2 linked regions of the Tribolium castaneum genome follow. The protein of the gene in region 2 interacts with the protein of the main gene of each other region in a pairwise test. Links are inferred from orthologs where the notes say so. Each region holds a gene or a part of one and is shown on either strand. Other genes may lie near its edges.

The links.
Region 1: the proteins of Spt5 (region 2) and peptidyl-prolyl cis-trans isomerase NIMA-interacting 1 interact in binary tests that used the Homo sapiens proteins (3 or more experiments, as listed by UniProt). The link is inferred for Tribolium castaneum from reciprocal best matches to the Homo sapiens genes SUPT5H and PIN1.

What each region holds. Positions count from the first base shown.
Region 1 is NC_087394.1:12,582,640-12,598,167, reverse strand, and holds peptidyl-prolyl cis-trans isomerase NIMA-interacting 1, read left to right. Parts: upstream 1-7,018; 5' UTR 7,019-7,121; coding exon 7,122-7,176; intron 7,177-7,229; coding exon 7,230-7,433; intron 7,434-7,482; coding exon 7,483-7,703; 3' UTR 7,704-7,956; downstream 7,957-15,528. Other genes in the region: mRpS29 (small ribosomal subunit protein mS29), read left to right, coding at 10,450-11,402, 11,510-11,717; Gs2 (glutamine synthetase 2 cytoplasmic), read right to left, coding at 14,200-14,348, 14,410-14,549. UniProt on the Homo sapiens protein: Peptidyl-prolyl cis/trans isomerase (PPIase) that binds to and isomerizes specific phosphorylated Ser/Thr-Pro (pSer/Thr-Pro) motifs.
Region 2 is NC_087401.1:13,831,667-13,848,176, forward strand, and holds the start of Spt5 (transcription elongation factor SPT5), read right to left. Parts: upstream 12,732-16,510; coding exon 12,574-12,731; intron 10,200-12,573; coding exon 9,894-10,199; intron 9,843-9,893; coding exon 9,705-9,842; intron 9,657-9,704; coding exon 9,367-9,656; intron 6,930-9,366; coding exon 6,288-6,929; intron 6,235-6,287; coding exon 5,989-6,234; intron 3,815-5,988; coding exon 3,233-3,814; intron 2,798-3,232; coding exon 2,453-2,797; intron 237-2,452; coding exon 1-236. Other genes in the region: E3 ubiquitin-protein ligase rnf8-B, read left to right, coding at 13,044-13,109, 13,159-13,269, 13,318-14,145. UniProt on the Homo sapiens protein: Component of the DRB sensitivity-inducing factor complex (DSIF complex), which regulates mRNA processing and transcription elongation by RNA polymerase II.

The sequences.
Region 1 (15,528 bases), on a different chromosome or scaffold from region 2:
TTCAACCGAATTGTGTTATTTCAGCAATTGAATATTATTTAATAACTTAATGACCTACATTTAATCGAGGGCAATTACCCGACACACAAAAACCCAACAAACCTTAATTAAAAATCGCAAACTCACCTAAAATGATCCGAAAACCCTAGAATATGTTTTTGTTTACCATAAAAGAACACCCACACTTTCACCAACAACCACTTGACGAATTCGAAACAAATAAAATCAAACTTTACAATATCGTCACATGAACAATCTCCCAGTTCTCACACAAAATTAAATCTTTCCAAATAAATTAAAAACGAAGAGATAAATAAAAACAGCAATCGCCGTATTTGACGTGTCTAGCGTCGCACGCGTCGATACCTAACCACGCAAATGTCCAAAATCGAACTGTCACCGCCCAGCTGATTACAAAATTGTATGCAGCTAACCTCACATGTATTAAAAACGATCATTTACACGTGGCTGTGGACAAGCGACGCTTCTGATTGGTGCATTTTCCAACAAGCAACAAAACCGACCAATCAAAAGCCACCAAAACCCGATGCTGGGCGATAAGTGAGCGTTGCGACCCGACGATGAACAATCGCGTGAAGACAGCTCCACAACCTAGCTCCTTCAATTTCCGAAAATGCCCGAACACGAAGCCAACTTCACACTAGCAAAATAAGCAATTTTATATATTTTGTTAACCACTTTATAGACGTAGAATAAATTAAAAAACTGAAAAAACACAAAACGCCCTTTCAAATATGAAATTTTGAAAAAGGGAAAATTTTGTTATTGGTAAAAAATATATTATCAGAAATTTGCATAAACATAAAGAACATTTATAAAAATAAGTAACAGTTAAAAGATTGGTTCATGTTTTTTGTAAAAAAAAAGGTAAAAAAATTATGTTAAAAAACCGAAAATTTAGTTTCTTTATTTTTGAAAAAACGCCCTCTGATTCAGAAAACTTATTGGTTTCAATAAAAAGGATTTTGAATCAGATTTAGATTCGAATTAAATTACGAAGACCATCGACATCAACTCAGTGACAAACGAAAGACTTAATTTTTGGTTTGGCTCTTAGTAAAGTGTAGAATCGAATCAAAAGTCTTTATAAACTCTGAGAACGTTAAATTTAATTCTTCTAATCAAAATAGAAAAATTTTGTTAAATTGTGAGTAATTGTAATCTAATCTAAGTTATTATATATTATATATTATATAGCAATTTACTAGTTTTAAATACATCTACAAACTGATTATAGTATAGTATTATAAGCGAATGAGGTTCAATCTGTAGGTACAAATATATTAAAATGTTGAGTCAAAAACTAAACTGCTCAAAAAAAGTTAGGGCTGTAAGTACGCATTTTGAGATTAATCGTCTCTAAGCGAGAAAATTGTTGCTGGAAAATACGAAACTGGTACAACTCTAAACGATAAAATAAAAAGTTTCATAGAAAACGTATTTGATATTATTTTTCATGCGGCTGTAAATTTTTTTTTATAATTTAGTATATCATTTTTTAATCAGTTTATTAGTTTAGCAACATGCAAAATTAACTGAAGTCTGGACAGTGTCGTTAAGGGAAAAATATTAGATTATTTATATATTACTGATATTAGGTGTTATGTGCCCAATAAAAATTTTGATGGCCCACCTATGTGCCCACCCAAAAATTAGGAGCTAGATCCGCCACTGTCATTAATACAACGATAAAAAAACGCATATTACAAAAACTTGCATAACAGAATTATTGTCGAAACAATATTAAAAAACATAAACTTGTCTATATAGCTTCAAAAATGCATTATCCTAACTCTTTTACTTCATTTAACCCCGAAATCGGTTTTGTCACACAATGCCCTTTTGGCCATTGATACAGCAACAAAAAGACATTTATTACAAAAAATTGCATAACAAAATTGTTATCGCACCAATATTAAGAAATATAACTTACTGCAACGTCCACAAATGCAGAGATAACTGAGGTAACTGTTTTTACCTGAAAAACTTTGAAGTTGTCAAATTACTACCCATCGATTCATATGACTGGAGTGAAATATTGACATTTATACTAATTTTATATAAAAAAAACAAAAATATAATAAAGGATTGATTATAAATGAAATAAATTGGAGAATTTATTATTATTGTCCCTTTGGACAATATTTTATGTTATCGCCTAAAAAGCATAATCATGAAAATTTTATAATGCAATGAATTACTTCAGTTTAAATGATTCTCCTCTCCCAAAAACTTTTTTATCGCAAAATACACTAGAAAGATAAACCGAATCGTGTATTTTAAAAGAAACTTAACATTACCTATTAAAATCATTTGGAATTTCGGGATTTGGATGCATTTTTTCTGAAGTGACTGTTAAGAGTGATGAGATACAAAACACAGTGACAATTTAAGTATACGTGAGTAATTTATTAATTGGAAATGGTTTTCTAAATAAAATGAAATAAGATTTGCTGTATTTATTTGTTATAATAGGACATTAAGCGCCGTTTTACGTTACAGAGAGTAAAATTAGAACTTAATTCCGTATTAAAGTAATCCGACATTAATTTGCCATTTAAAATGCATTGACAACTGTCAAATTAATCTAGAATTAAAATTTAATTGCAGTTAAAATGTTCTCTAAACCGACTCTAAGGACCGGTTTACAGAAGCGTCATTAATTTAATTCGCAATTAAATGCGTGATTAACTGATTAACTGGCCAAATTGAACAAATGTAAATGAACCATTCTCGTTATTAACTTCTAACAACCAATTAAATTTTAATAATGGTTTCTATTAAACTTTTTTCTTTAACTAAGTAATAAATAAAACTTGCAAACAAACCAACAATTTTTTGACTTCTTAAAGTGTCGAAACGACGCAACGAATTTAAGTTTTTTATTATTTGTTTGTGTTTTAAGAAAATTAATAAACATTCGTCAATTTAAAGAAAAACTTCTTTTTGGTATTGACAGTATTGGTCAAAATTTTAATCAGAGTATTTCCAGAAATAAATTACTCTAATGTCCATTGATAACTTTTATTCTAGTTATACCAATTTTTTCAAACATTTAATAAACAAAAATGTTAATAAAATCTATTGAGCGATTAATAATCGAACGATTAGAAGTATAAACGTTTTTACTTGAAATTTGAAATGCAAATTAGATTAATACTTTTTGTTTTATCTAGTTTGATGCACTATAAGTTTTGTAAGAACGGTCTTTTTGATTATAATTTGTAGCAATGAAGTTTTAAAAATAATAATTACTTTGATTTAAAATATTTTTTGGGCAACCGATTACAATCTGATCTTTTCGTGGTCTAAGTCTTGAATAAAAATTATATATCGACAACAATATGAATTAAGAGTTTTTGTAAAATATTTCTACGGTAAAAAAGTTGTGGCAAAAGTTAATTAAACAAAACTGTTTTTTAAATGTCACGTTATTTTATTTTGCAACAAAACTTTTTACTTTAAGAAAACATATTAGAAGGCACTCCCAACAAATAGTAAAAATTTAGTTAACTTAAATTTTTAATTCGCAATGAAAGTTTAACCTAAAATGTAAATGAAATAAGAGTCCGTGTTAAGCATGTTTGTTATTCAGCAAATTTTAGTCGATGTTAAAATTTACTTATTAAAAATTCCAACAAAAATGTTTAAACATTTTAAAAATCATTAAACGAAATGTGAAACATCATTCAAAACTCTTTTACGATGTCAGATGATTTATGAGTAGTAGACATTCATTTATGAAGCGTCATTTTCTTTTTAGGCGGCTGTACCTATATGCGGTGGCGTTTGTAAGTTTGTATTGACACCAGAGGAAAAAATACTCTGTATATACCATTTCTGTTCACAGTAGAATTTTGCAACAGCGCATTTGAATGTTTTGAAGGTATAAAAGTACAAATTGAAAGTTTCTGAATAAGAAAAGAATTCTGGTAAAATAAATATTATACCAGCGACAAATTTTGAACCAAGAATTTTGGAGCTAGAAAATTTATATTTTTTAGTATTGTTACGACAACTTTGTTACAAATTTTTTTTGTAATAAATGTCTTTTTTTAACGCCGTGTTAATAGCCAAAAAGGCATTGTGTAAAAAAACCGGTTTCTGGACGCAGTAAAGTTTGTAATAAATCTCTTTTTATTGGTGTTAATCTGCTTTTTTTTAAAAAAAAAGGCAATTTTTAGTAAGTAATTGATTTTTCACCTTAACAAATTTTCCCTCTTTTAAAATACTGGATTTAAGGCTCTAGACCCTCTGGGAGCTGGCGCATACGTTTTACGTGTAAACTGTTTTTACTGTTTTTAGCCGCAAATTTAGACTTGAAGAGTTTCTTGACATTTGCAGTGTTTCTTTATAAGTAAATGTAGGTCGAAGATTCATTTTTGATTGAAATAAATGCCTAGATATTTTTTTATTAAATAAAATGTCTGTTAATGAAGTTGATACGAATTTTTGATAACGGTGCATTGTATTGAGAATTTAAAAAAACCATTTTATAGGAAATTTAAAAATACAGACTTGAGATATTTTAGATTTTTGTTAACTGTTCTCAATTGTTAGATATAAAGCAAAAATTAAATTGTAAGTAGGCAACTTTTAATGCATCCTTCTTCAAATGCGTAGCTAGCTGGAAGAAGATTTATGACGGGTTTAGGACGCACCGCTGGAGGTAACCACCATTGGGGTGACCCACAAGATAATAATTTTATTGCATTTGTTCAAGACAGAGAAATGTATCGGCACAAATAGGAATTTTAGCGATTTCTCTAATAGTGGTATAAAATTAAAGCACATGATTTCGGAATTAATTTTTTTAACAAAATAATTAGGTACCTATAGATTTGCATTACGTTTTTTTTTGTAGACACTGCTATCAACGTATCTTATGAGATTTTGAAATACGAGTAATCACGCTCACTATTTTTTTTGAATACTTTTAACAATAAAATTATTCCTGTTTTAAAAAAAATATAAAAAAAGATGATTAAAACTTTGGTTGTACTTAGCTTCGTTCTGCACAGGTTTTGTGATAGAACTACTGAGCTCCCTCACCACGACAAGGTGTCAACCCAATCTGCACTTTGAATACGAATTTTTCTTTTATTTAATTTTGTAGCTTGAAGTTCTTTGGTTTTTAATAAGCGATTTGAAAATTTTGTGGTGTAAATGCCACTATTCCCTGATATTTTCTCCATAATTTTAAATACAAATTTGTTTTTGTTATTTACATTTACGACTGCCGCAAAGCATCTTCCATGATAAGAACCGCGTTCTGAAAAATTTATTCTTTTACCCCCAACAAGTTTGTTAACCACTGAATTAAATGACTCAACAGAATTATTATCGACATCATACAATAGACTTGAAGATAAATTTGCAACTCGTTTTAATGCCTGCATGAACAACTCAAACAAGTAACTATTTTTAAAGTCAGAATATGCAACTGCATTTGTTATTTGACCAACTGTTTTACAAAAATACGTAGCGCACTTTGAATGATTACCAAAAATATGTGCAGGTCCATTTAAAATATCATTTTTCAGGTTTTCTGCTTTTTGATCGAAAGTACAGTTTTCGTTTTTTCTGTATTTTATCGCTGAAACAATTGCGGTTCTAAATTTCAAATAATTGTTGCGCAAAAAAGTTTTTATATTTATGTCAGAACGAGGAGTTTTAGCGATTTCTCTAATTTTAGTACAAAAATTTCGTAGTATATGATTTCGGCATTCAATTTTTTTAATAAAATAATTAGGCCCGTATGGTCTTGCATTACGAATTTTTTTGTAGACGCTACTATCACCATCTCCTATGAGGTTTTTAAATCTTACGTTATGCATGTCTACTGATTTTTTAAATCCATCCAAAATAATTGCTGCTTCCATTGAAGTTGAAGTGTTTTTCCAATTTTTAAAACATTTATGAGGGGGCGTCGTTTGGTTTTTTTTCTTATAATACATACATTTTTTACAATTTTTATTTTTAACTCCCACGTATAAAATTTTTTTAGTCCTTGCACCGACTATTGTTGCAACACCAGAAGATGCGTTATATTTTAAAGAAATACACAAAATTTATATAATGTAAGAGTAACGCAGCTATATCTTCGCAAGCTAGTTATAGAAAAATTGTATAAATTTAATAAAAAAACGAGAAATAATTCCTAAATTCTAAAATAATACATAATTATAAAAGTATCATTTATTTTACAAGGCGTAACGTAAACAAATTATATCCCTAAGACTGGATCTTACAATCTCTCGATACGTTATTTGTACTATAATTATTACTGGGTATAGTTAGAATAAATTTTTACAACAATGTATTTTTCAGAATTTATTACCTGGATAAAATTATCAGACGAAAAAGCGGGTTTAATGAAGTTTTCATCATTTTAATGAGATATTCCTAGTAACTTTTTTAAAGTTAAACTGTTTTCTGAAAGAACAATAATGTTTCACCAATTAATTTTTTTATTTTATATTTTTTCAATGCAAGTGATCCAATTAGAAATGCACATGACACATAATATAGCGAACAGAATTCGGTTAATTAAAACATAAAACCCAATAAATAAATGGTGTAATGGTGTATTATTTTTTACAAAACTATGCTAGTATTTTATTATTCTTTAGTATCAAATTTTTTTAACAAAATAAAAAACGTCTTTTTTACTGTATGTTGCTTGAATCTCTGAAATAAGAGAAACTATCGTGGGCGATAGTGGAATTCAGTTTGTTTACATTATTTGCATTTTATGAGAAGGGACAAGACACCCCGAGGCGAAGGTCGGATGCCTATCCGATGATTGACAGCTGTCACTGAAAACAGGTCTAAAAAAGTATGCAACTTGTAGTACACCAATTCTCAACAATCGCTTCGGTACCCTGAAGCCTTAAGAGAAGTTTGTGTTTTTCAGTTTTTCTCAATATTGAACGTCTTTAGTGTTGGCAACCAACCATACAATCGCTTATTTTGTTGGTGTGAAAGTGGTTTGTGTCCGGGTATTTCCGGAAACTGAAGGAGCTAACTCGTGTAGCTGTCTTCACAGAAATAAAGCCTCGAGTGAAGTTAGCCGATAAATAAACACGCATTCTAGGAAAATGGCGGACGAACAGTTGCCTACTGGGTGGGAAAAGCGGTTAAGTCGGTCAACCGGTAATTCGGTTAAGTTTTAATCATTCTCCCTTGACTCAAAACGTGTATTTTAGGCCAACACTACTACCTGAACGTTTACACCAAAGAGTCCCAATGGGACGTTCCCGACAAACCGGCAGAACCTGTGTCTTCGAGCGGCCCCGAACAAGTCCAGTGCTCACATTTACTCGTCAAACACAAAGACTCGCGAAGACCGTCCTCTTGGCGAGAGGAGAACATCACAAGGACTAAAGACGAAGCCTTGGAATTAGTCAAATGTGAGTGTTTTTGGCCAAGAAATGTCACCACTTTTGAACGTTTTTTCAGCGTATCGCGAACAAATCGTCCAGGGCAAGGCCTCGTTTGCTGACTTAGCCTCAAAGTACTCGGATTGCTCGTCTGCTAAACGAGGGGGCGACCTTGGCTCGTTCAAACGGGGGGCCATGCAGAAGCCCTTTGAGGAGGCGTCGTTTGCGCTCAAGGTTGGGGAGTTGTCAGAACCTGTCTTTACCGATTCGGGGGTGCATATTATTCTGCGTACTGTTTAGATTTGTACTCTTTCTAGACCATTTTTACATTTATTATAAGTTCATTCATGTTCTTTCAGGTCTTGTTAACGTAATTTATGATGCATCTATGCCAAACAAATTCATATTTATATATATTGCGATGAGATTGGAGCTGTAAATTTAGTGTAAATTTCTTTTATATTGTACTTTTTACTTATTAATGAGGTAACTTATTCCTGATACTTTTGTTATTTTGTTTATGCACAATAAAGAGCCCTAAGCACTCCTGTTAGCCCGGATTTTATTCCAGAATCAAAAGTAAAACATTTGCTAAGATGCAAGCATAATACAAGTGAGGATGAGAAGATTTAAATCAATAATAGGTAATAACTATCTTTTATTTTCAAAGTGCCTTTCGCGTAGTTACAATAGTTCGAAACTACTAATACACACAGATTTTTTTACACAAAAAGTATTGTTGCAACGTTTTGCTTGTACACCATTAAATTTTATTGAGATTACTTCAAACCAGGATGTAGTCTTTCAGACGAACCGATCGGTATCGTAAATATCTTTTGGTCACCGTTGTCGAAACATCTTATTTTGAGGATTGTTTATCATAAACAGCATTAACTGCTGTAAAACGTTATGGTGTAACTACAAAGAAAACGATGCTTCAATAATAATCAATACAGGGTCTTCCACGTAATTTTACAAGGCCTGCGCCTGTAAAATGCAATCAACAATACATATTCCAATACGAACTCGATTACAAATTTTGAAAGATTGGATCTCTAGCTTGTTCATCCCTTCAAAAAATTGCAACACTTTTAATTAGTCGGTGATTAAGTTAGGTGGATTAGAATCATATTTATTCCGTTTCTTGTTAGAACACATGAAAATTGTTTCTGAAAAACATTTTATGAACATTAATGAAACAGTGATTAGTGCCCACCTAAAAAATCTCTACGATATTTTGAATACTTGCAACTTTGCATAAACATAAATTACATTCTAAAAATAAGTAACCGTTAAAAGATTGGTCCATGTTTTTTTGTAAAAAAAGTGAAAAAATTTTGTTAAAAAAACGTAAGTATCGTTTTCGTTTATTTTGGAAAAAAAGATTCAGAAAACTTATTGATTTTGAATCAGATTTAGTTTCGAATTAAATTACAAAGACCATCTACATTTTTTTGTAACTCAGTGACAAAAGAATCGAACCAAAAATATAGCGAAGTTAAGGGAAAAATATTAGATTATTTATTACTGATATTAGGTATTATGTGCCCAAAAAAAATTTTGTTGGCCCACCCATGTGCCCACCTAAAAATTAGGAGCCATTTCCGCCACTGTCCTGCTTACCGGATGAAACTTACTTTTTATCAAATATAATACATGATGTCCATTGAGTTTTCTATTTGTTTCGCCTCCATTTCCTTGGAATACCTTCATTATACCTAATGGGAGACTAAAATTAGTGCTTCTAATTTTCCAATATATTATTACTTACCATTTATTATTAGATCCAATAAATCCAAAAGTTACAGCAATACAAGGAACAAGTCACAAAATCTAAGTGTAACACACTATCACCAAATTTTCCCAGCAAAATATTAAGGGAAAACAAATTAAAAATTACAAATAGAGCCCAAATGGAAAAACATATCATTTAGACCAATTGACGATATGAACTAGTACCATGCGGTTATTTGAATTTATAATTAGCGTAGGTGGTTTTCTTTCTTTATGATTGAAAAACTAGTGCAAATTGAGGGAAAAATGCATAATATTAAGTAGGTACTGGCCGAAATTCTGATTAATTAAGATAATTACCGTTTTCAAGTAAGTACCCAAGTTAAAAAAGTATTAAAGCCTACTCTAAGTATGAATTCATTGTTCACATGGTAGCAAATATTTTGCTTTGTACGTGAAGATGAAAAATTCCGAAAACGGTAGCACAAACAACTACAGTTTTATATTAGAAATGGGACACTTCGAGCTCAATATCTTTATTCCTTTAAACATCTTTTCAGTTATTAACTTTAAGCATTTGAAAACTCATGATTTTGGATAGACAACTTAATAATTTTTGTGAAGCAAACACAAAAAACCCGTTGTTCCATTTAACTTTTTCAAGTTATTTAACTTTTAACAAACTTCTTAAATTTTTTACGTTCCTATAATCGTAAGCACTACATTTTTGAGTTTAAACTTTCCCCTTTAACGTGGTAAAGTCCTACTTTTCTGGGTAGTTTTTGTGTAATAATATGATTGAAAAAAAAACGTGTTTTCGTCAAACAAATCAAATTATTTCAAAAACTCTAAGCAGAATCGACCAATATAAGATTAGATCAAAATTATCAGTTTTCAGCTACGGCCAAAAATGCAAAAAATATAGGGGAATTCATTTAACAAACGTAACTTTGCATTGTAATTTATTTCTGAAACACTGTGTATATTTGAAAATAATTTTAGTTGATGCAGGGGCTTTTAGTATCTACGCCTTTTGTAAAAAAATATTTTTCATTTATTTAAAGGTCATTAATGGACTTTTCCAACCCGCTGGGAAACCTGTAACCCCTGTAACCATATTCATATTCCACAAAGTGAGGTTATGTTTCAACATTGTTCTTTCGAATCAAACATTCAACTCTCGAAATAATTTTATTTATGAAACACAATTGAAGTAAAACGAACTTTTTCACCGTCTTATCTGCTACGAAACTAAAATTAGTAAGAATGAGCAACTAATAAGCAAAAATTTGAGGTTATGTTAATTGCAGAAATGATCAAATCCGGCACGTTCAAGTCCCTGTTGAGACGCCACAAAAACGTTTTGCACTTTTGCCAATTGTCTTCAGCCGCCCAACCACAGTCAGACCCCAAAAGCCACAGTTTTCGTACCGATGAGAACGACCCCCTTAAACACACCCTTGATCATGTGGGGCAGTACTACAGAGTCCCCCAAAATGAGTGCAAAGTATATCTATACGGGGGTTTACCCAAATCGTACGAAATCCAAACAAAGACCTTCAATGAAACTTGTTTAATGGTGAGGAAACCTTCAGTCGATATTATAAATTGTTTGAAAGGGCTTGATTACACAAAACCCGCCGTACGTTTTGTCCTATTTGGTAAAAAAGGAAGTGGCAAGAGTTTGACAATGGCACATGTGTTACACTACGCCCAAAAGGCCGGTTTTTTGCTGGTCCATGTCCCTTGGCTGGGCAATTGGATGCGGAACCCTAAGGAACTGAGCAGCTCTGAGACTAGAGAAGGGTTTTATGATTTAAATCTGGACGCGGCTGCGTGGTTGGTGCACTTTAAGTCGCAGAATGAGCATTTGCTGAGCGCCCCTGAGCTTAAAACGACTCGGGAGCATGTTTGGAGTAAACGTGAGAGTACACCAAAAGATTCTAGTTTGCTTGAATTGATTGATCATGGCATTAATCGGCTGAAATATGCATCAGAGTGTGTTCTTGCCCTAGCTGAAGAATTGAAACAATTGACTAAAGCTGGAAATTGTAAAACTCTAGTGGCAATTGATGGTTTCAATGCGTTTTTCTACCCAAAAACTCGTGTTTTTAAGGAGAAGAAGGAAGTGGTTCCGCCAAATAAAATCACACTGACTGAGGCTTTTCTCAGTTTGACCAAATTTGATTGGAATAATGCGGCAATCGTTGTCACAGTTGATGAAATTGCCATTGCTGAGGAAGATCACAAGTCGCATTTTCCAAGGTATGGATCAAAGTGGCTCATGATTTTGAAGTTATATTGGCAAAATTAAATAATTTTAAAGTTACACATTTAATTTAGACATTTTGATCAAAATTTTTTTTATTTAGGTATCTCTTGGGTAAGGAAGGATTTGAACATTTGGACCCTTTTGTGCCCGTTTTTGTTGACGCTTATTCACCAAAAGAGCTCACAAGTTGTATGGATTATTACAGAGAAAGGAAGTGGGTTAGGTATTTCCCACAACAGGATGAAGAATTGGCGTCACTAAGTGCATATAATCCTTATAAATTAATGAAGTTATGCATATCGCTTTAAATGTAACTTAATTAGAGTAAATAAAATTGAATTACAGTAATACTGATGTCTTGCTTTTAAATCGATTACTGCCGTTGAGAATCAACACCACAAAAAACGTATTTTTAAAACAACCATAATTTCAAAATCGTATAAAATAACCGGCTGCGGTCAAATCAACATTAATTAGAAAACGTTTACTCAGCCATTTGAGGACAGCAAAATTTTCAAAATAATTTTAGTATGTAAAGGTTCTTTTAAAATAGACGATTCGGTTTATATTAAAATGTATTTTGCTACGAAAGAGTTTTTTTGTGGATTTAAAATGGGATAAGATAATCATTTAAATTGAAGTAATTCAATGGATTTAAAAATTTACATACATTGTCTCATAGGCGATAGGTATGTCCCATTTCAGTTCATGGTAGAATTTCACAGCGCATTTGAATTTTTCGAAGTGAAAAATAAAGCACAAATTGAAAGTTTCTATAAAAGAAAAGAATTCTGTCTTATTTTTTACTTGGTTAAAGAAGATTCAAGAACAAGAGTAATATTTTTTAATTTTCACTGTCTAACTTGATATTGTTAATGTCTTTAATAAATAAAACCATTTTGAATAATTTTTCTCATGTTATTTTTCTACAAAGGATTTTTTGTCTCATCCGTCATGTTTCGTTCGTCATACAGCGTGGAATTTTTAACTGGAATAAAATTCATAACTTTGATTTAGCCGATTTTGGTGAAAATTTCCGAAACGGGTTAATTTTTATTTTTCCTTGCCTACTATTTGGTGCATATGGTTTTGTTTATCTGCTGTCAGAGATGCACAGCCTCCTATAACTTTTTTTTTCAAATGTAATGGTATGTCAAGTGACACCTCGTATGAAAGCCTTTTTTGCAAGCATTACAACGCACTATTTGATTTTTTGAATTTTTTCAAAGTCTACGTGATAAAAAAATAAAACACAATTTTATAAGTTGAACATTATTTAAGGCAACAATTGTTCAAAATGGGTACCGTTCCTCTCCTGGGAAATATCATAACGATAGTAGTATGTATTTCTAACATTTTTCAACATTTCTAGTGTGATTTGCCTATAATTTCAACTTATAAAAATTGATTTTCATTTTTTTATCGCGTAAGCTTTGAAAATATTTAGAAAAGAAAGAGTACGTTGCATTCCTTACAAAGTGGTCTTTCGCATGAGGTGACACTTGACATACCGTTACATTTGAAAAAAAAGTTAGAGGTGGCTGGGCATTTTTGAAAATAGATAAACAAAAACCGCATGCACCAAATGATGCGCAAAAGAAAATAAAAAATCGACCTGTTTCAAGATTTTTTACAAAGATCGCTTATATCCAAGTTACAAATTTTATTTTAGTCAATAATTCCACACTGCTTTAATTTTTTATCACTTGGGCATTGATAATATTTAGAAAACAAAGAGTGCGTTGTATTCCTTACAAAGTGCTCTTTTACATGATGTGTCACACAATAACATACCGTTACATTTGAAAAAAAAGTTGGAGATGGCTGTGCAGTTTTGACAGCAAACAAACAAGAAACATGTCCACTAAATGATGGACAAGAAAAAACAAAAAGCGATCTGTTTCTGGAATTTTTACAAAAATTGCCTATATCCAAGTTATAAATTTTATTCCAGTTAAAAAATTCACACGGTATGGAAACAAAAAGTAATTTAATCAGAAGTTGTTACTGATTCGCTTGTTCTTAGGTTTCGTGGTTGCAAAAAATTTCAACAAGTTCCACCTTTTACCAATAAGAGTAAAACTAAAAGTGATGTTTGAAATCTTTTGAAATTTTTCAAGCTAGGGAATAGAATTTTTTAATGTTGTTTACCGTGAAAATTATTTAAATACGTACCCAAACACACGATCATCATGCGTAATATTTATAAAAATAAATTTAAAATAATTTATACACAAGGACACCACTAAAAAAAGAAAAAATATTGATTATTGTACTCGTACATGTGATTCTCTTCAGTTTTTTTTCATAACATCGTCGGTATGTTCCTTATGTGTCACTCATTAAATTTGAAACATTGTGATAAAGGGGTATTTTTGGCGGACTAATTGGTTGTTTAAATCATGGGAAACCATTAAAAAAAAAGGAAAACAAGGAAAACTGGTGTACCAAATTTGGTTTAAACAAGTTCTGTGAACATAGCAAATATATTTGAATTGTTGGAATTACAATAACTTGTATAAACTATTTCACAACGTAACAAAATACATTTTAATAGAGCATGTGCTATTCCCATCAACCAATATTTCGTTGCATGCATATTAGCTCTTAAACCTACTGATATGACATTGTTATATATTTACATATACTGAATACAGTGAGTTTCTGTCACATTGAAGAATAAAACTTCTCCAAACGAACATATAAGTCGTATTATACAAATTATACAGAAGAAAGAGAAATAAACAAAAATAATAAAATTGGTTTAAAAAACACGACTGAACGTGTTTCTTATTCATCTAGAATACATGTTCGGACCAAAGCTTCACATACTGCGTACGGATCGCAATTTGAAGATGGTCTCCTATCTTCAAGATATCCCTTCTTATCTTCTGCACATCCGCGAGGAATACGAATACTCGCGCCACGGTTAGCCACACCTAGAGTAAAAAAAACAATTATTATATCTGATCTCCCTAATAAAAGGTGAAAATTAAATACCTGCACTGAAGTCATGGATCGAGGAAGTTTCATGGCGACCGGTGAGACGACGTTCGTTGTCCTTTCCTCCCTTAGGATCGTAGGCCTGGATGTGTCTAAGGTGGTTTCGGCTGAGCTTATCGATGGCTTTCTCGATTTCACTAAAAAAGACAAAATTAATGATAAACACACAAACAACAACTCTAAATATAATAATTTTAAATAAACCAATGAATGATTTACAATCTCTCTCATGTTTTTTCAGTATCTTAATAACAGGGCATAAGGTACAATACTCGTATTAACAACAAAGCCAAAAATACGATAAATGAAAGCTGGAAGAACTGTGAGACGAAATTCAAGAAAGGGAAGACCGACGGCAAGTCAATGGAATTCTAACATCAAAAACGAAGTAAGAATTTAAAAAAATAATAATAAAAATTAAAGCTCAATTTATTGAAAAGATGAAAAGTAATCCCTTGGAACTGTATATTTTATTTCAAAAATCATATTGTGAAGCCCGACTTCAAAACTATAAAAACCATTTTTACAACAAGACCGTTACTTACCTTTATATTTTCTTTTTTTATTCAATGTTTTTAAGTTGAAGTCTAAGAAATAAAGAATTTGCAAATTCAGAATTCATTTTCTTAGAAAAGCGAAGACTAATCTAATAATTATGATAATTAATTATATTATTATTTCTCAAGAACCTTATTTTTTAGACTTTTGTATTTCTCAAAAATCTCAACTTAATTTCTGAAAAAACTAAAGAGTAAACTATATAAGACTATGTATGGCCACTTATTACTTCAACAGCATCATTTTTTTTTATTTGAACGTTTCTCAATTTAATATTCCATAATCAAAAATTTAATCTCAAGATAGTGACATCAAGATCCTGACTTTTTTAAGGTTTTAACATTTGTCATGTCCGTATTTATAGTAAACTTTTGCAAAAAAGATTTAAATATCTTGAAAAAAGTAAGAAAAATTAAAATGTTGCATTATTTCCTTTAAAAACCTAGTGCTAAGCATGTTTCTTTAACTAAAAACAATCCAATTAAAATACATATTTTGCAAAAAAAACTCAATTTTTCTTGGTCTTAAATGAGGAAAGAACAACTTTAAGATTTAAGA
Region 2 (16,510 bases):
GCTCCGGATTATTCCGGTTTGGCCGACTAGACCCGGATCGTCGTGACTGTCCCTGATCCGGACTTCGATATCGATCGTATGCCAGTCGGTCATTGGGAGCACGTCAAGACCGGCTCCGGGCGTTTGAGGGTTGTAGGGCATGTTGGGGCTGTAACCGGAACTGGGGGTGTTGTAGGGGTTGTTGCTGGCGGGGGATTGGCCGTAGCCTGTGGCGGGGCTCGGAGTCGAAATAGCGCCTGGAAAAAAAAAACAAAAAAAAGTGTAATCCCAACAATTACAAAGTCATCATTTTGTAATAAGAACGTTATTAACCCACATATGGTCAAGCTCGGTTAGTATTGTAAGATTACGTTTCTCCTCCGGAAGTTGTATAACTGTTTTCATCAATTTTTCTAAATTTTTTCAATCATAACACATAATTGCAAATATCTGCATAAATAATGAGGAATGTTTATATTGTAACGGTGTACACTCTGTTTTATTTTTGCAAAAAAGGAAAATTCTGCGAGAATGAGTGAAATGAAGTAAATATTTTACATTCTTTTTTTAACACTATGTATTTTTATTTTACCTCAAGAGTATTAGGACCTATTACACAAAATCACGATTAAAAAAGTTTAAAAAATGCAATTTAATAGGTTTTACATAACCTTGACCATTAAAATTTTAAGGAAAAAAACCCTGGTATAACACAGAAAATGAGCCGCTGAATCCACTGGAACAAACCGCATTGCTCTACGACTTTTAGTTTTTGAGTTATGAATTTTTTTGTTGAATAAAATTTTTCACTATAGAAATTCCTATCTTAATTTTTAGCAAAAAATTTTAAAATGCCAGATCTCGTTGAAAGCTGGTATAATACCGAAAATGAGCCGCTGAATTCACTGGAACAAACCGCATTGCCCTAAGTCTTTTAATTTTTGAGTTATAAATTTTTTGAAAAATAATTCGGCGCATCCACCATTTTTCAAATTAAAATAAAATAAATTACGGCAATACTGTTCAAAAAAGTGGAACTATTTTTATCCATACCTATGCAACATGATCCGGGGAATCGATTGCCATTGAGAAAACTGCCAAGTTCCCAATAGTTTTTTAGTTATGAATTTTTTAAAATTTTACCAATTTTTGCTTTTGTTTGCGATTTGCTCGAATACTATTAGTCGGAGAACAATAATCTTTTTGAAAAAAATAGATAATTTAAAGAGCTTTCCAACGATAATACACTTCATGGGGTTTTCTCTGATAGTTCCGGAGCTATTGCTCGATAAATGTTCTGGGTACCCAAATCGACCAAAATTGCGACAAAAGTTGCAAAAATCAAAAATCTAAAAATCAGAGCAATTATTTTTTTTTCTACTTTTAACAACTCTAGAGGGTTGTTAAAGCATATATAAGTTCAAAAAACTATGATAGAACAAGTTTAAACAAAAATAATTTTTTCAGTTTCTTGATGGTAAGTGAAATTTTAGCAAAAAAAACCAAAATTTTAAATCTCGTGAAAAGTTGGTATAACACAGAAAATGAGCCGCTGAATTCAATGGAACAAACCGCATTGCTCTACGACTTTTAGTTTGTGAGTTATGAATTTTTTTGTTGAATAAAATTTTCCACTATAGAAATTGCCTATCTTAATTTTTAGCAAAAAATTTTAAAATGTCAGATCTCGTTGAAAGCTGGTATAACACAGAAAATGAGCCGCTGAATTCACTGGAACAAACCGCATTGCTCTACGACTTTTAGTTTTTGAGTTATGAATTTTTTTGTTGAATAAAATTTTTCACTATAGAAATTCCTATCTTAATTTTTAGCAAAAAATTTTAAAATGCCAGATCTCGTTGAAAGCTGGTATAATACCGAAAATGAGCCGCTGAATTCACTGGAACAAACCGCATTGCTCTAAGACTTTTAATTTTTGAGTTATAAATTTTTTGAAAAATAATTCGGCCATCCACCATTTTTCAAATTAAAATAAAATAAATTACGGCAATACTCTTCAAAAAAGTGGAACTATTTTTATCCATACCTATGCAAAATGATCCGGGGAATCGATTGGCATCGAGAAAATTGCCAAGTTCCCAATAGTTTTTTAGTTATGATTTTTTTAAAATTCTACCTATTTTGCTTTATTTGTAATTTTCTCGAAAACTATTAGTCGGAGAGCAATGATCTTTTTTGAAAAAGATAGATAATTTAAAGAGCTTTCCAACGATAATAAACTTCATGGGATTATCTTTAATAGTTTCGGAGTTATTGCTCGATAAATGTTCCGGGTACTGGAAATCGACCAAAATCGCGACAAAATTGGAAAAATTAAACATAAAAAAAATCGAACGTGTGGACTTTTTTTAGACTTTTAACAACTCCAGAGGGTTGTAAAGCCATATAAAAGTCCACAAAACTTTGCTAGACTGAGATAAAAAAATGTTTTTTTCATTTCCAAAAAACTTACTTTGATATCCCGGACTAGCTTGATACGGACTATAAGTCGAATCATAAATAGTCCCCGGAGTTTGTGGCGTAAACGGTCCATTCATTTGATATCCCGGAGTGCCCGGATTATATCCTGGCGATGGATACGTATTAGAAACGGTCGGATCCCATTCAGAAGAAGCATTTGGCGTCCTTGAACCATCATGAATTGGCGTCATTGAACCACCATAATGCAGTGGAGTACGAGAACCAGAATCACACATCGGCGTTTTATTTCCGGTATCACGATACAACGGAGTCTGGTTTCCGGTGTACGCAGGCGTCCTGCCATAACTCGAAATACTGCCATCCCTGCTAGGCGTACCTAAAATTAATTAACAATTATTATCAAAACATTCAGCCACAAAAAAAAATCCAAAAAAATTATCAGCAACCAAAGAAGCTTTTGTTGTATGCAGAGTGAGTTTGCTAAAAGTATATTTTGACTGTGTCTCAAAAAGTAGTAATCACGCTGACTATATTTATAATTTATAAACTTGCACATATAAAAACATGATTATCATAATTAATCAAGTTGTAGAGTCAAATAATATTTTTTTACACTAGTTTATCAATTACAAAGAAAAAAAACGCCTACTCTGATTATAAATTCAGATAATCGCAAGGTAAGGGAGATTACGTATGTATGCAAGATTTCAGTACGTTCGGATAAAAATAACTAAATAAATAAAATAAATAAAAATTGATTTCTGTGTGATAATTAATTTTTAAAAAATTTTTTTTTGAAAAATGACCGTACCAACATCAGCAATATGACTCCTATCCACACTGATCGTCTGACACGAAGTGTGCAATTCAATCCTTGCCGTTGACTGTGTCGCATCTTTGACAATCCCGATATTGCCTTTATAAGGCCCTTTGGTGATTTTGATGGTAGTACCGATGATGTCACGATCACGTGACACCCTCCCACGGCCGCCTCCGCCGCCGCCTCCACCCCCACCCCCAGGTCGGGGACTTGCAAATCCACCCATACCGCCGCCACCACTTGAAGGATGCATCGGTGAACTCCTCCTCGGTGACATGTATTCCATTCCGGTTGAAATATCGGCACTTGGAACGCTTTTATTTCCACCGGCTAGTTGTAAATGTTTCGTTTTGCAAACGAAAATACCGCCGTTTTGGAGAAATTCAACGGAATGTAAAAATGCAAAATTTCGATACAGGTGTTTGATTTCGCCGGAAAAGCCGGAATGTGGACCGTCGATGACTTTAACCATGTCTTTGCGATGGAGATTGTTACGGTAGGAGTCTAAGGCGGCTGTGAAACGGTTTAAACGGCGTTTTTGCAACGAGCCGGGACGGCACTCGACCACCTTCCCTAGAAAATAGAAAGACACATTATTCGTGTTTTTCAAGTTTCAATTTCCACTGAATATTCGTAAATTTGTTCATTCTTTGAGCCGCTGTTGCAACTATTTGGCAAAATTCCGTCAAAAAAAAAACATAATACGAAAATGATGTTTGAGCAAAAACACGGTGTTTTGCGATATTTCGGCCAAAAATCATGAAATTAGGTCATAGATTACATCACTTTTGCCTTTTGCTGAGTTCGTCAGTAAAAACTCAATTCCTTAAAATTTCGTCAAAACTACGAGCAAATGAATTAAATTAACGCGGAAAATCACAAAATAATTCAATTTTTACATTTTTCGAAAACAAAAATTTAATTTCGCTGAAATACCAAAAAATACCTACCTAAGCTGGTCAAAAATTATCTTAATTTTACGTTTTAGAATAAACTTTATGTAAAAACGTAATTATTTCACAAAATCTCGTCTAAAATGAGAAAAAAAAACACCAAATCAAACTTTTTTCAAAGATTAAGCACATTTTTTCCACGAATTATACCACCAAAAAATCACTAAATTGAGTGGAAATAGTAAATTAAATTAGTAAAATAATAATTTTTAAGGCATTTTAGCACATCATGTTTCAAATGCGCAATCATTTCGCAAAAAAGCAGAAAAAGCTAATATTACGTCAAAAATGTCGTAATATTTCTATTTTACGGACGTTTTCGTTACTTGGTTAAAAATCACTGACGAATATAGTTTGAAACGTTGATTTATTTAAAAAGTTTGTGTTAAAATATCTGCAAAACACGGTCAGTACGTGGGGCCCTCGTGGCCTAGTGGTATAAGCGCCACTTACGACCAGAGGGGCCGCGGGTTCGAACCCGGATCAGAGCAACAATTTTTCTATGAAAAAAAGTGTAGAAAAGGTAAGTGAAACAACACGTAAGCAAAAATAAGAGATTGAGAGAACACATAGAGACGTATAAACGTAAAGCGGAGCATAAAACTGACAGAAATAAGAAAATAATGCGGCAAAAAGTAAAAGTACGTAAAGGCGCTAAATTGTAAACGTAAGAGCACGTTGTAATAAAGAGAAAATACCTTTTGTTTTGAGAGAAAAAGAGATGAACGTAAAGGTGAAACATAACTTCAAATTTTAGCGTTGAATCCTTAGATGACTTACTTCTTAAATTAGAAAAAAAATAAACGAAAATATTTAATTTATGTCTAAAAATTTTTAGTTAACTGAGTTTATTTAGTAAAGTCCCAAAAAACATTGTTATTAAAAATCATGGTACTGCGAATCCAGTAGGATTTACGCACGTCCACTATTTTTGACTAGAAAATACACAAATTTGGTGATTTTTGGAGAAATTTTGTCTATTTTCGGTCAAGAACGTGCTGAATGTCACAAAAAAAGGTAAAAACAATTTTAAAATTGCAGAATCAACTTATACGCCTGGTATCTTTTGATAGAATCTGGTGAAAAATTAGAGAATTAAATTGAAAAAAAGTGGAAGAAAATGTTTTCTCGAGCTAATTCGCCAATTTTTGACATGAATGTATTTGCGTTTTAGATGAATTAAGGCAATTATAGTTTGTAATGTTGATTTATTTAAAAAGTTTGTGTTAAAATATCTGCAAAAGATGGTCAGTACCTGGGGCCTCGGTGGCCTAGTGGTATAAGCGCCACTTACGACCAGAGGGGTCGCGGGTTCGAACCCGGATCAGAGCAACAATTTTTCTATGAAAAAAAGTGTAGAAAAGGTAAGTGAAACAACACGTAAGCAAAAATAAAAGAATGAGAGAACACATAGACGTATAAACGTAAAACGGAGCATAAAACTGAGAAAAATAAAAAAATAATGCGGAAAAAGGAAAAGTACGTAAAGGCGCTAAAATTGTAAACGTAAGAGCACATCCTAATAAAGGGAAAATACCTTTTGTTTTGAGAGAAAAAGAGATGAACGTAAAGGTGAAACATAACTTCAAACTTTAGCGTTGAATCCTTAGATGACTTACTTCTCAAATTATAAAAAAATTAAACGAAAATATTTAATTTATCTCTAAATTTTTTTAGTTAACTGTTAATATTTTAATATTTAATATTAATATTTAAATTTAATATTTTTTCCTATAAATTTAGGCATATCTATACTTTGTAAAAAATGTTTTAAGAAAAAATGCCAGAACTTACCGTGCATATTGAGAACATGAAAATTCTCCCTCTCCAACCTGACGATCACTCCCACCGTCTCCGCGTCCAAATTGACCAAATCCCCCCATTCAAATTTCCCCAACGAATCCACTCCACTCGCCATATCCGTACAAAGTTGCAAATCCTTTGGTAAAATCTCCATTTCGTGCATCGTCAAATCAGAAATCAAAACAACCCGATTATTCTCAACTCTGACAACCAATCCCGTATCACCCTCGTACCGACCTATAAACCATCCCTTACCACCAACCTTACAAAACAAACAAATAGTCACATACCAGCCAAAACCTTAACATGGTCCCCCATTTTAAAATACTTCTTCAACTCAGACGCATGAAAAAAAAGCGGTTCCTTCAAATCCTCATGCTTCGGCATAATCGTGATCATTGTTCCATCGATACTAATAATTTTCCCTTGAAGATTAATCAATTCACCCTCGCACACTTCAACATTATCGCCAGCGCTGAACGAATGCGTGACGGCTTTGTCCTCCTTCTCGGTCGGTAATTCCAAGTCTATACCTTCGGGTTGTTCTTCGAAACGTTCCAATTCGGCTAGTGTTGGTTTAACACCGTCGATTATGACAGCACTGAGAGTGAAATTCTTGTAGAGGAAGCCTTTACGCGAGTAGCGGTTTCCTTCGAAAATGAGAAAATCACCGTCGGAGGTCACTTCACCTCCTATGGAACGGATGGCTTCCGGATCGAAGGGTTTGCTAGGTGGGCGACGCTTCTTTTTGCGCTTTTCCGCCTCCGATTCGGATTGAGTGGTGCGGAGAGCACCTCGAAGACGAGTATAATCGATTCGAGGCAGGAGTTTGAGGTGGACTTGGTTCTGGGCCATGTCGAAGTAGTCGACTTGGGCGATGTCGTCTTTGTAGAGACCGCGCTTCAAACGCACCCATTGCTTTGATTTTAATCCTAAAATTTAATATTATCCTTATACATTGTTCGTATTAAAAATTGTTTTTTTGGAAGTATATTTTCAGGCCCCACGTTGGGCGCCACATGATGGAACAGACCTAAACTGTTTTTTAACACGGAAATCGCCAAGGTCTAAATTTTGGTGAAAAAAAAAAAATGTGCAGCTTATATCCAAGCCCATAAACTTTGCTAATTTCTGATTTTAAGGTCAGTAAATTAGTTCACTCCCAATTGTTAATTTTCATTTTCCATCAGGGTGCCGGTTTTTTACAATATGATTCCTTAAAACTTTTCTGATTTTATAAATTTTTGACGTATTTTGTACTAGTTCCAACAGTTTCACCGTAATCGGCGTTTGGTTTATATATCTTTTTACGCCTTAAAACTTGCATAATGTTATAAATTTTTAACAGCGACTTCAATCGGACTTTTAGCGCCAATTCTAATAATTTCCACGTAATCGGCGTTAAGAATTATTAAACCAAAATATTTAATTTATCTCTAAAAATGTTTAGTTAACTATGTTTGTTTAGTAAAGTCCCGAAAAACATTGTTAATAAAATCATAGCCACTGCGAATCCAATAGGATTTGCGCACGTGCACTATTTTTAACTAGAAAATACACAAATTTAGTGATTTTTGAAGAAATTATGTCCATTTTCGGTCAAAAACGTGCAGAAAGTCACAAAAAAAGTAAAAACAATTTTTGAATTGTAGAATCAACTTATACGCCCGGTATCTTTTGACGAAATCTGGTGAAAAATTAAAGAATTAAATTGAAAAAAAGTGGAAGAAAATGTTTTCTCGAGCTAATTCGCCGACTTTTGAACTGAATGTATTTGCGTTTTAGGTGAATTATTGCAATTATATAGTTTGTAATGTTGATTTATTTAAAAAGTTTGTGTTAAAATATCTGCAAAACACGGTCAGTACGTGGGGCCCTGGTGGCTCAGTGGTATAAGCGCCACTTACGACCAGAGGGGTCGCGGGTTCGAACCCGGATCAGGGTAACAATTTTTCTATGAAAAAAAGTGTAGAAAAGGTAAGGAAACAACACGTAAGCAAAATAAGAGATTGAGAGAACACATAGACGGATAAACGAAAAACGGAGCATAAAACTGACAGAAATAAGAAAATAATGCGGCAAAAGGTTTTAAGTACGTAAAGGCGCTAAATTGTAAACGTACGAGCACATTGTAATAAATGTAGAAAATACTTTTTGTCTTGAGAGAAAAAGAGATGAACGTAAAGGTGAAACATAACTTCAAATTTTAGCGTTGAATCCTTAGATGACTTACTTCTTAAATTAGAAAAAAAATAAACGAAAATATTTAATTTATCTCTAAAATTTTTTAGTTAAATGAGTTTGTTTAGCAAAGTCCCGAAAAACACTGTTAATAAAAATCATGGCCACTGCGAATCCGGTAGGATTTGCACACGTCCAATATTTTTGACTAGAAAATACACAAGTTTGGTAATTTTTGAAAAAATTATGTTCATTTTCGGTCAAAAACGTGCTGAAAGTCACAAAAAAAGATAAAAACAATTTTAAAATTGTAGAATCAACTTATACGCCGGGTATCTTTTGACGGAATCTGGTGAAAAATTAGAGAATTAAATTGAAAAAAAGTGGAAGAAAATGTTTTCTCGAGCTAATTCGCCGACTTTTGAACTGAATGTATTTGCGTTTTAGGTGAATTATTGCAATTATATAGTTTGTAATGTTGATTTATCTAAAAAGTTTGTGTTAAAATATCTGCAAAACACGGTCAGTACATGGGGCCCTGGTGGCTCAGTGGTATAAGCGCCACTTACGACCAGAGGGGTCGCGGGTTCGAACCCGGATCAGAGCAACAATTTTTCTATGAAAAAAAGTGTATAAAAGGTAAGGAAACAACACGTAAGCAAAAATAAGAGATTAAGAGAACACATAGACGTATAAACGTAAAGCGGAGCATAAAACTGAAAGAAATAAGAAAATAATGCGGCAAAAGGTAAAAGTACGTAAAGGCACTAAATTGTAAACGTAAGAGCACATTGTAATAAAGGGAAAATATCTTTTGTTTTGAGAGAAAAAAAGATGAACGTAAAGGTGAAACATAACTTCAAACTTTAGCTTTGAATCCTAAGATAACTATTTCTTGAATTATAAAAAAAATGAAACGAAAATATTTAATTTATTTCGAAAATTTTTTACTTAACTGAGTTTGTTTAGTATTTGCGCACGTCCACTATTTTTGGAGAAATTATGGCCATTTAATAGATGGATTGTCCCATAAATCAAAAACCGACCAACTTCATTTATTAAAATTATTATGAATTTTTAGGGTGATAATCATTTCAAAACTTTTAAAACAACAAAAAAATAATTTATTTTATTTTAAAGATCGAAGCGGGAAGTTTCTTAAGTTCTAGAATTGGTTGAAAAACCTACCAGTCTGTTCCTTAACCACTCGTAAAACATCGGTCATTTCTTTAATCGGCACCATTTGTTGTTTCCAAATCCCCATCCGCAAATTGCCCACATTTTCGATAGCGGCTTTGACATGGGGTTGTTTATAAGCCTCGATGTAGATGTAACCTTTGACACCTTCTGGTGCCACAACCGATTTGATTTGAAGAGGTTCACTCGTATTTTGATACGCTAAATATTTGCGCATTAAAAGCAAAGCTGTCGCTTTCTCTTCACCAATGCGACATTTAACCATCCACAAATTCGGATCCCTTCCAAAAAAATTAAAAAAAAAAATGTTACGATTATTAGAAACTTACTTAACGCCAGGCAATAACGTCTGTTGGGTGATCTCATCTGACATTTCCTCACCCCCATCTCCGAAGTGCTTAGCAGCCGCACTATCATCGGCATATTTCTTCCTCAAATATTCTTCAATTTCGTGTTCTTTTTGTGCGCTAGAGAATTATCAAGTAATTATTAGTACGAAAAGTTTTGGGTAAAATTACTCCCAGAGGTTCGTTCCTCGTCGTCTTCCTTCGATTTCACGGGCCGTGGGTCCGAATTCGTCAACTTCGTTCGGTACGATACCGATTTCTTGCGCTCCTTCTTCCCATTCATCTTCATCTTCGACTTCGTCATCTACTTCCGCTTCGTCAATAATAAAACCGCCGTATCTGTCCTTCTTCTTCTTTTTTTTGGCACGACCTGAATCGCTTTCGTCTTCTTCGCTGTCGTATTCGTCGAGAGAATCGCCTTCTGGCTCTTGTTCTTCTTCCACTTCTTCCGGTTCGGAGGCTTCGCGAGCCTCAGAACTGCAAGAATGGTTAAAATCAAACAATTATTTTTATTGAAATTAATAGGAAAAATAGAAAAACAAGATAATTTTGAAAGTTGGAAGACTTAAAATAAACTAATCAGAAAGAAAAAACGAGACAAAAAAAACAATAAATAATAATGTCATTGTCAACCCGATTTTTTAAAATTATTTTCGATGATACTTCTCTGAATAATAAAGTTTTGTAGGTTTTATATTACAAGTTATGGTTTAACCAGCATTTTAAACCAAATTTTTTAACGAAATGTCGAGAAATTATTGCGTTTTTGGCAAAAAAAAAAACGTCGTGACAAAATGACAAAAAACGTATAGGCTGATTAATAAAAAAACATGCAATTGTAGACTTCAACCTTAGTGACCAAATTTATTCAAAATTATGACTTAAAAATGCCTTGATTACCGTTTTGTAGATTGAAGAACTGTCAAAATTCTTTCAAAAATAATAAAAAAGCAAACACAAACTTTATTATGTTTTTATAAAAATTGTAGCATAGATTGGTCTTTTATGAACGTTGGATAATATTTGTAAGTTTCTCATCGTGATTTTTAACGATTTATTTTGATAAGATTTTTAAAAAACTGCTAAATATCATTTTCCACATAATTTCTTCTGATTTTTCCACTCGTTTTAATAACATCACACAAACGAACCCAATCTTTTATTTCAAAATTTCTTTTAAACACTCAGCAAAGACAAAATTTACAAGTTTTTTTTAATAATTCGATACTTTATCGGCACATTTTGACGAAATTTCAACCAACAATTCCTACCATGGTTAAAAAAATGTTCGAACACTGAAAAAACGCTCAAAAATTGCAGAAACTAGACTATTTTCCACACGATTTTGTCATTTTTCGAGTATTTTTTATCAAATTTTGTAACATAATTAAAAAACGTGCTAAAAAATTCAAGATTTTTCTTCAAAATTTCTTCAAAATAATTTAATACTTTACGTTTTTTTCTTTTTTTTTAATAAATTTCAAGCAACAATTCTTATTATAGCTGAAAAATATGTTCGAATATTGAAATAATTATAATATATTTTTCACATAATTTAGTCATCTTACGAGTTATTTTTGACAAAATGTGGCAAAATAATTGCGTGGTTTTTTTTGGTCGAAAAGAAAAAAGCAGAAATAGTATTCCCGACACAATTTTTTATTTTTATGGCCCGGTTTAACCAAAGCACTCAAAAAACTTTAATCTTTGCTTCAAATTTTCTCAGAGCACTCAAAAATTACAACATTTTTAAATTAATTGAATGTTTTATAGGCTTTTTAATGACATTTCCAAAATTAATTGCTATTACAAATTTTAGAAATAACACCAATTTCTGTATAGTACATAATTTTGGCTCATTTTTGACAATATTTTAAAAAATGATTGTTTCTGGCAATAAAACGTACTGAAACACTCGAAAAATATAACTTTCCAGCTAATAATTTGAGAGTTTTCATGAAATCTGTTAAAAGAAAACGACCAAGAAAGTGGTTAAACGCTCAAAAAAAGTAATAACAAAATTTTTGTCATAATTAAAAAAATATCGGTTTGTTTAAAACATGATTTTGCAAAAATAGTGCGCTTCTGCTGAAAAACATATTAAAATGCTTTTTTAAAAAAACACAATATCATTTTAATTGCTCTTTGTAAAAAAAAAGTGCATTAACGTTCGACAAAGTTTTTTTTAACCAAGTTAAAAGACAAAATAACACCATTTTCGAACAAATTGATGCTTTATTGGCTTTTTTGACCAAATTTTCTATTACAACTAAACATCAAACACTCAAAAGAGACAAAAATTATATAATTTTGATAAAGACAATGTTCGAAAAATAAATTATAACACCATTTTCTTCAAATTTTGGCTTAAGACCTTCTATAATTTAATTGACAATAAAACTAAATCGGTTTATAGAAGCTCCATTAATTTAATCCCCAATTAAATGCGTGATTAACTGATCACGTGACCAAGTTGAGCCAATTTGATTGGTCCATTCGCGTTGTTAACTTTTAACAACGAATTAAATTTAAATTTAAATTCAATTAGCAAAGCTTTCTATTAATAAAACATCCCAATCAAAACGAATTCACGTAATTTCATTTTGTTATCCAACATTTCACATAATTGTACTCCAACGTGAAAAAACAACGTTTTTAAGAGCATTTCTTGCATTGACTGAACTCTTCAAACCAAACCAAATCATGAAGCTACATCATCAAGTCACCTTAGGTCCCCTTAACCCCAAAAACATCTCACAAAAACAGAGACACAACTCAATCCCCATCCTCGTGTAAAACAGCCCGAGCCCCAAAATAACGACCTGAAAACCTTCCACCATATGGAACATACCCAGAACGTGCCGAACGGCTCCCAGATTTGGACCGGGACCGCGACCTGGACCTGGAGCGACTCGGCGACCTTGACCTGCTCCCGCGGGAACTCCTCGACCGCACCGAGCCCGCCTCCGACGCGTTATCAGAGAAATTGCTTCCCTCAGAGTCCGACATTCTCACTTTTGCAAAAACAGCCAAAAATTCACAAATTCACTCAAGTGACGCCATTTTGATCTGATTGATGATGGCGCATGGGACGCGCTACCAACCCCAGATTCAAACTTTTAATCAATTAATCCCACGATTTAAACACTTCGTAGAGCGAGTCTAGCAATTAAGCATTGAAAATTTTACACGAAATAGCAGTTAAAAGTGTATAAATAATTGTTCAAGTAACGTTAAAATGCGCAGCAGTCACTTGGTGGGGAACAAAACTCCCTAAATTTTTCTTGTTTGTTGGTCGGATGTCAGTTACAAATCAAAATAATGGAAGAATTTCCGAAATTAGTGAATTCGCACGATGATTCCGTCATTACAATCAACAATTCATCCGTACGTTTAGAATCACGTAAACCAATCGATGCCTCACGGTTTTTTTCAGTTCTCAATCGGGCGAAGCCTCAGCTGTGATCACATCATTGAGTCCCTCGGTGTTTCCCGATTTCACTGCTTCATTAAGAAGAACGGCGACCGGTGGACGCTCTTCGACCGGGTAAGCGCCCCATCGCCCCCTTGCCCAGTTACCGTTTGCCTACTCTAGAGCACGAATGGAACAATCGTCAACTCCACACTGTACAAATTCAACCAAAGCACCGAACTGAAGGACGGGGACGTGATCAAGTTAGGACCCGACAATTTAGACTTCGTCTTCACTTGTTTTAACCCGCCCAAAAGTAGTGAATCTCACGCCACGCCTTTAAACGAGCAAGATTTCAACGCAATTGAGCGAGAGTTGGAGGTGATAGACGAGGCGCTTTTGCAGGAGTTGGAGGAGCCCTTTGCTGCCGAGGGCGCGCCTCCGGAGGCCAAGCCCCAGCCGGAGCCCAACTCGGAGGATGTAGACACAGAGCTCACTTGTAGCATCTGCTCCGAGCTGTTCATCAAGGCTGTTACACTGAACTGTTCGCACACGTTTTGCAAGTTTTGCATCGATAGGTGGATGAAGAACAAGTCGAATTGTCCCATTTGCCGCAAATCTATCACAAATATCGCGCCGACTCTAGTCCTTGATAATTTTATCGAGAAGTTTATTAAAACGCAAAGTGATGACGTGAAAGAGACGCGGAAAAATCTAATCCAGCAGAGGGAGGAGATGGTTGTTAATATGGCGAGTAGTTCGACTAGGTCTCCAGAGGTGGTGGACGTGGAGCCAGGGCGTGTGATTGAGATTTATTCCGATGATGAGGATTATCTGGATGTGGAAGATGAGGATAGCGATTACAATTATTTAAGTGATGACCATGACTATGATGTGTATGATTGTTACCCGGATAGGCCCAGGGGGAGGTATTATGGGGGCTATGGGAGGTGCTTTATTTGCAACCAGGCCGGGCATTGGGCCAACAGTTGCCCCTTCAAGAGGCTATGAAATGTGTAATTTTGGTAGTTGTCTAATTAAATCATAAAATGTTTGTTTTTTTTCTATTATCTTGCTAAATACAATTATGTTTTTTTGTATTTTTTTGTTTAATCCCAGCTGTGCACTCTAGATCGATGTTTCAGTAACCTCGGCGCCCTCTAGTGAACGATTTTGTAATTTGGTTTAAGTATCTATTGGCTGTTTCAAAACTATAAAAACGCCAATATCGCATTTTCTCTTAAATTAGTTTTAAAAAAATAATAGTTATTGTAATTTATAGTTTCCAGGGGCGGATCCAGAAATTAATTTTGGGGGGAGGGGGCTTCCAAAAATTTTTTACAATGGTGACGCTATTTATTTGTACAAAATTTTACAATGCAAATTTATATTTTTTACATAAAACACGCTATATTTTGTGCAAAAATAATGTAATAGATAATTTCGAGCTTTTCCTTCCAATAAGAAAAAAAGGTCAAAATAATTATCAACATTAACGTAATTTTAGCTAAATTATTCTGATAGAAAAAAATGTTGAATTCATTGATTACTCGGTCTGCGTTTGCTCCCATTGAATGAAACATGAAATTAAATTATATTACGAGTGGAAGTGGAGATGAACTTAGGGAGAGATATTTCAAATGTCACGTCTGATCGATAATAAATTAAAGCAATTAAACGTATTAATTATTAGGGAAAGATTTTCGAAATGATGACGTCAAAAAAAAGGTTTAAACCGCATCAAAGATTTATGCAATGTCGCATGCAGCAGTAGTTGATCTAGAGCGCGATGACCGACATCGTCATCCCGTGACGTCATAAGTACACTCGGAACAAATTGACAATTGTTTATTCATATTTTCCCAGCGCACGGAAAGCAGTGGTGGAGGAACAATGGCAAGAGGTGCCAAAGGTCATCTAGTGTGCATATTACGAAAGATTTGCCCCACATTTTAAGATACACTGTGATTCAAAAAAAGTTGAACTATCGATTGTGCTTATGGACGATCTTTTCGAATCACTCTGTAGAATTTTTTCAATTTTTTTTGGCTTTAAATAAAAAATACCTCACTGTATATGTGTAAACAAAGCTTTAATCGAATATGAAGCAATAAATAATATCAGATTCGATTGATTTTTTAATTTTTAGACATTTTATTAGTAATTATTACAAGATATGGCTCAAAAATGGACGAATTTTTTGTGCGATTGAAAAAAAAATTAACAAAAAAATAGTTTTTACCTCTAAAATTTGTTTCCACACTTAAAAAAAATGCTTGGCCTACTTGTATTATTTGATAAAATTTTACAAACTAATTGCGTTTTGGTCGAAGAACTCGAATGAGACAAGAAATAATGTGGTTAGTTGATTACTGTCTTAATTTGGTGATTTTTCGGCCTGTTTTAGCCAAACCTCAAACAAAAACTGATGAGAATTTAGTTTAACCGAAGATTTCTGTTCAAAAATAACATAGTTTTTACTTAAAAAATGTATATTAACACCGTAAAAAGGCGAGATTTAAAAAAAACAATGATCTGTCTTTCTTCTGACCAAAAAAAGGGTTAAAATAGTTGCTTCAATTTTGTGTTTTTTTGGCTCTTGAGCTAAAAAAGTACAAGCCAAGTTATTAAAAAAAAAACAAAAGGTTTACTTAAAAAACGAATGAAACGCTTCAAAAAAGAGAAAATGTGTAAAAAGGTGTAAAATACACAAAAGGCGTTTGAAAAAGACACGTAATAATGTAATTATTGTCTTCATTTACTGACTGTTTAGTCAGTTCTAGTAAAATTTCAAGGAAAGACTAAGAATTTAATTTAAAAACATCATTTTTGTTGGAGTATTTGTATTTTTTTTGGTTATTTTTTTCTATTTTTTTATTTTCCGGCCTGTTTTAGTTTAATTAATTTTAATTAAAGAGGCAAAAATAGCATCAATTTAGTGTGTTTTCAGCAAAGTTTAGTGATAAATTAGTGATAAAAAACCTTGTGTTTACTTCAAAAAAATTAGGTTTTCTTTAAAAATACACAGCATGTTCTTATAACCAAATTGAATTTTTTGTTTTTTATTAAAACTCAAAAACTGTTCGTCGCACTTTTGCTGGAATTGCCTGTATATTTTACTTTAATTTTGGTACGCAGTTGGTGTAATTATTACGGTTAGAAAAACAGAAAAAACTTTAAGGAAACAATGAATAATTCTTTTATTTGTGCGCGCTAGATAAGAATATTTCAGTTCCCAAAAAAAAAAAAGAAAAAAAAACTCCCACGGCACTGGTCTCGAACCGCGGAAGTAATTGTTCTTTTCTTTAGCATAAGAGTGATTACAACAGAATAGCTAATTAAATGGGTCGACGTGATAGATTTATTTTCGTTTCAA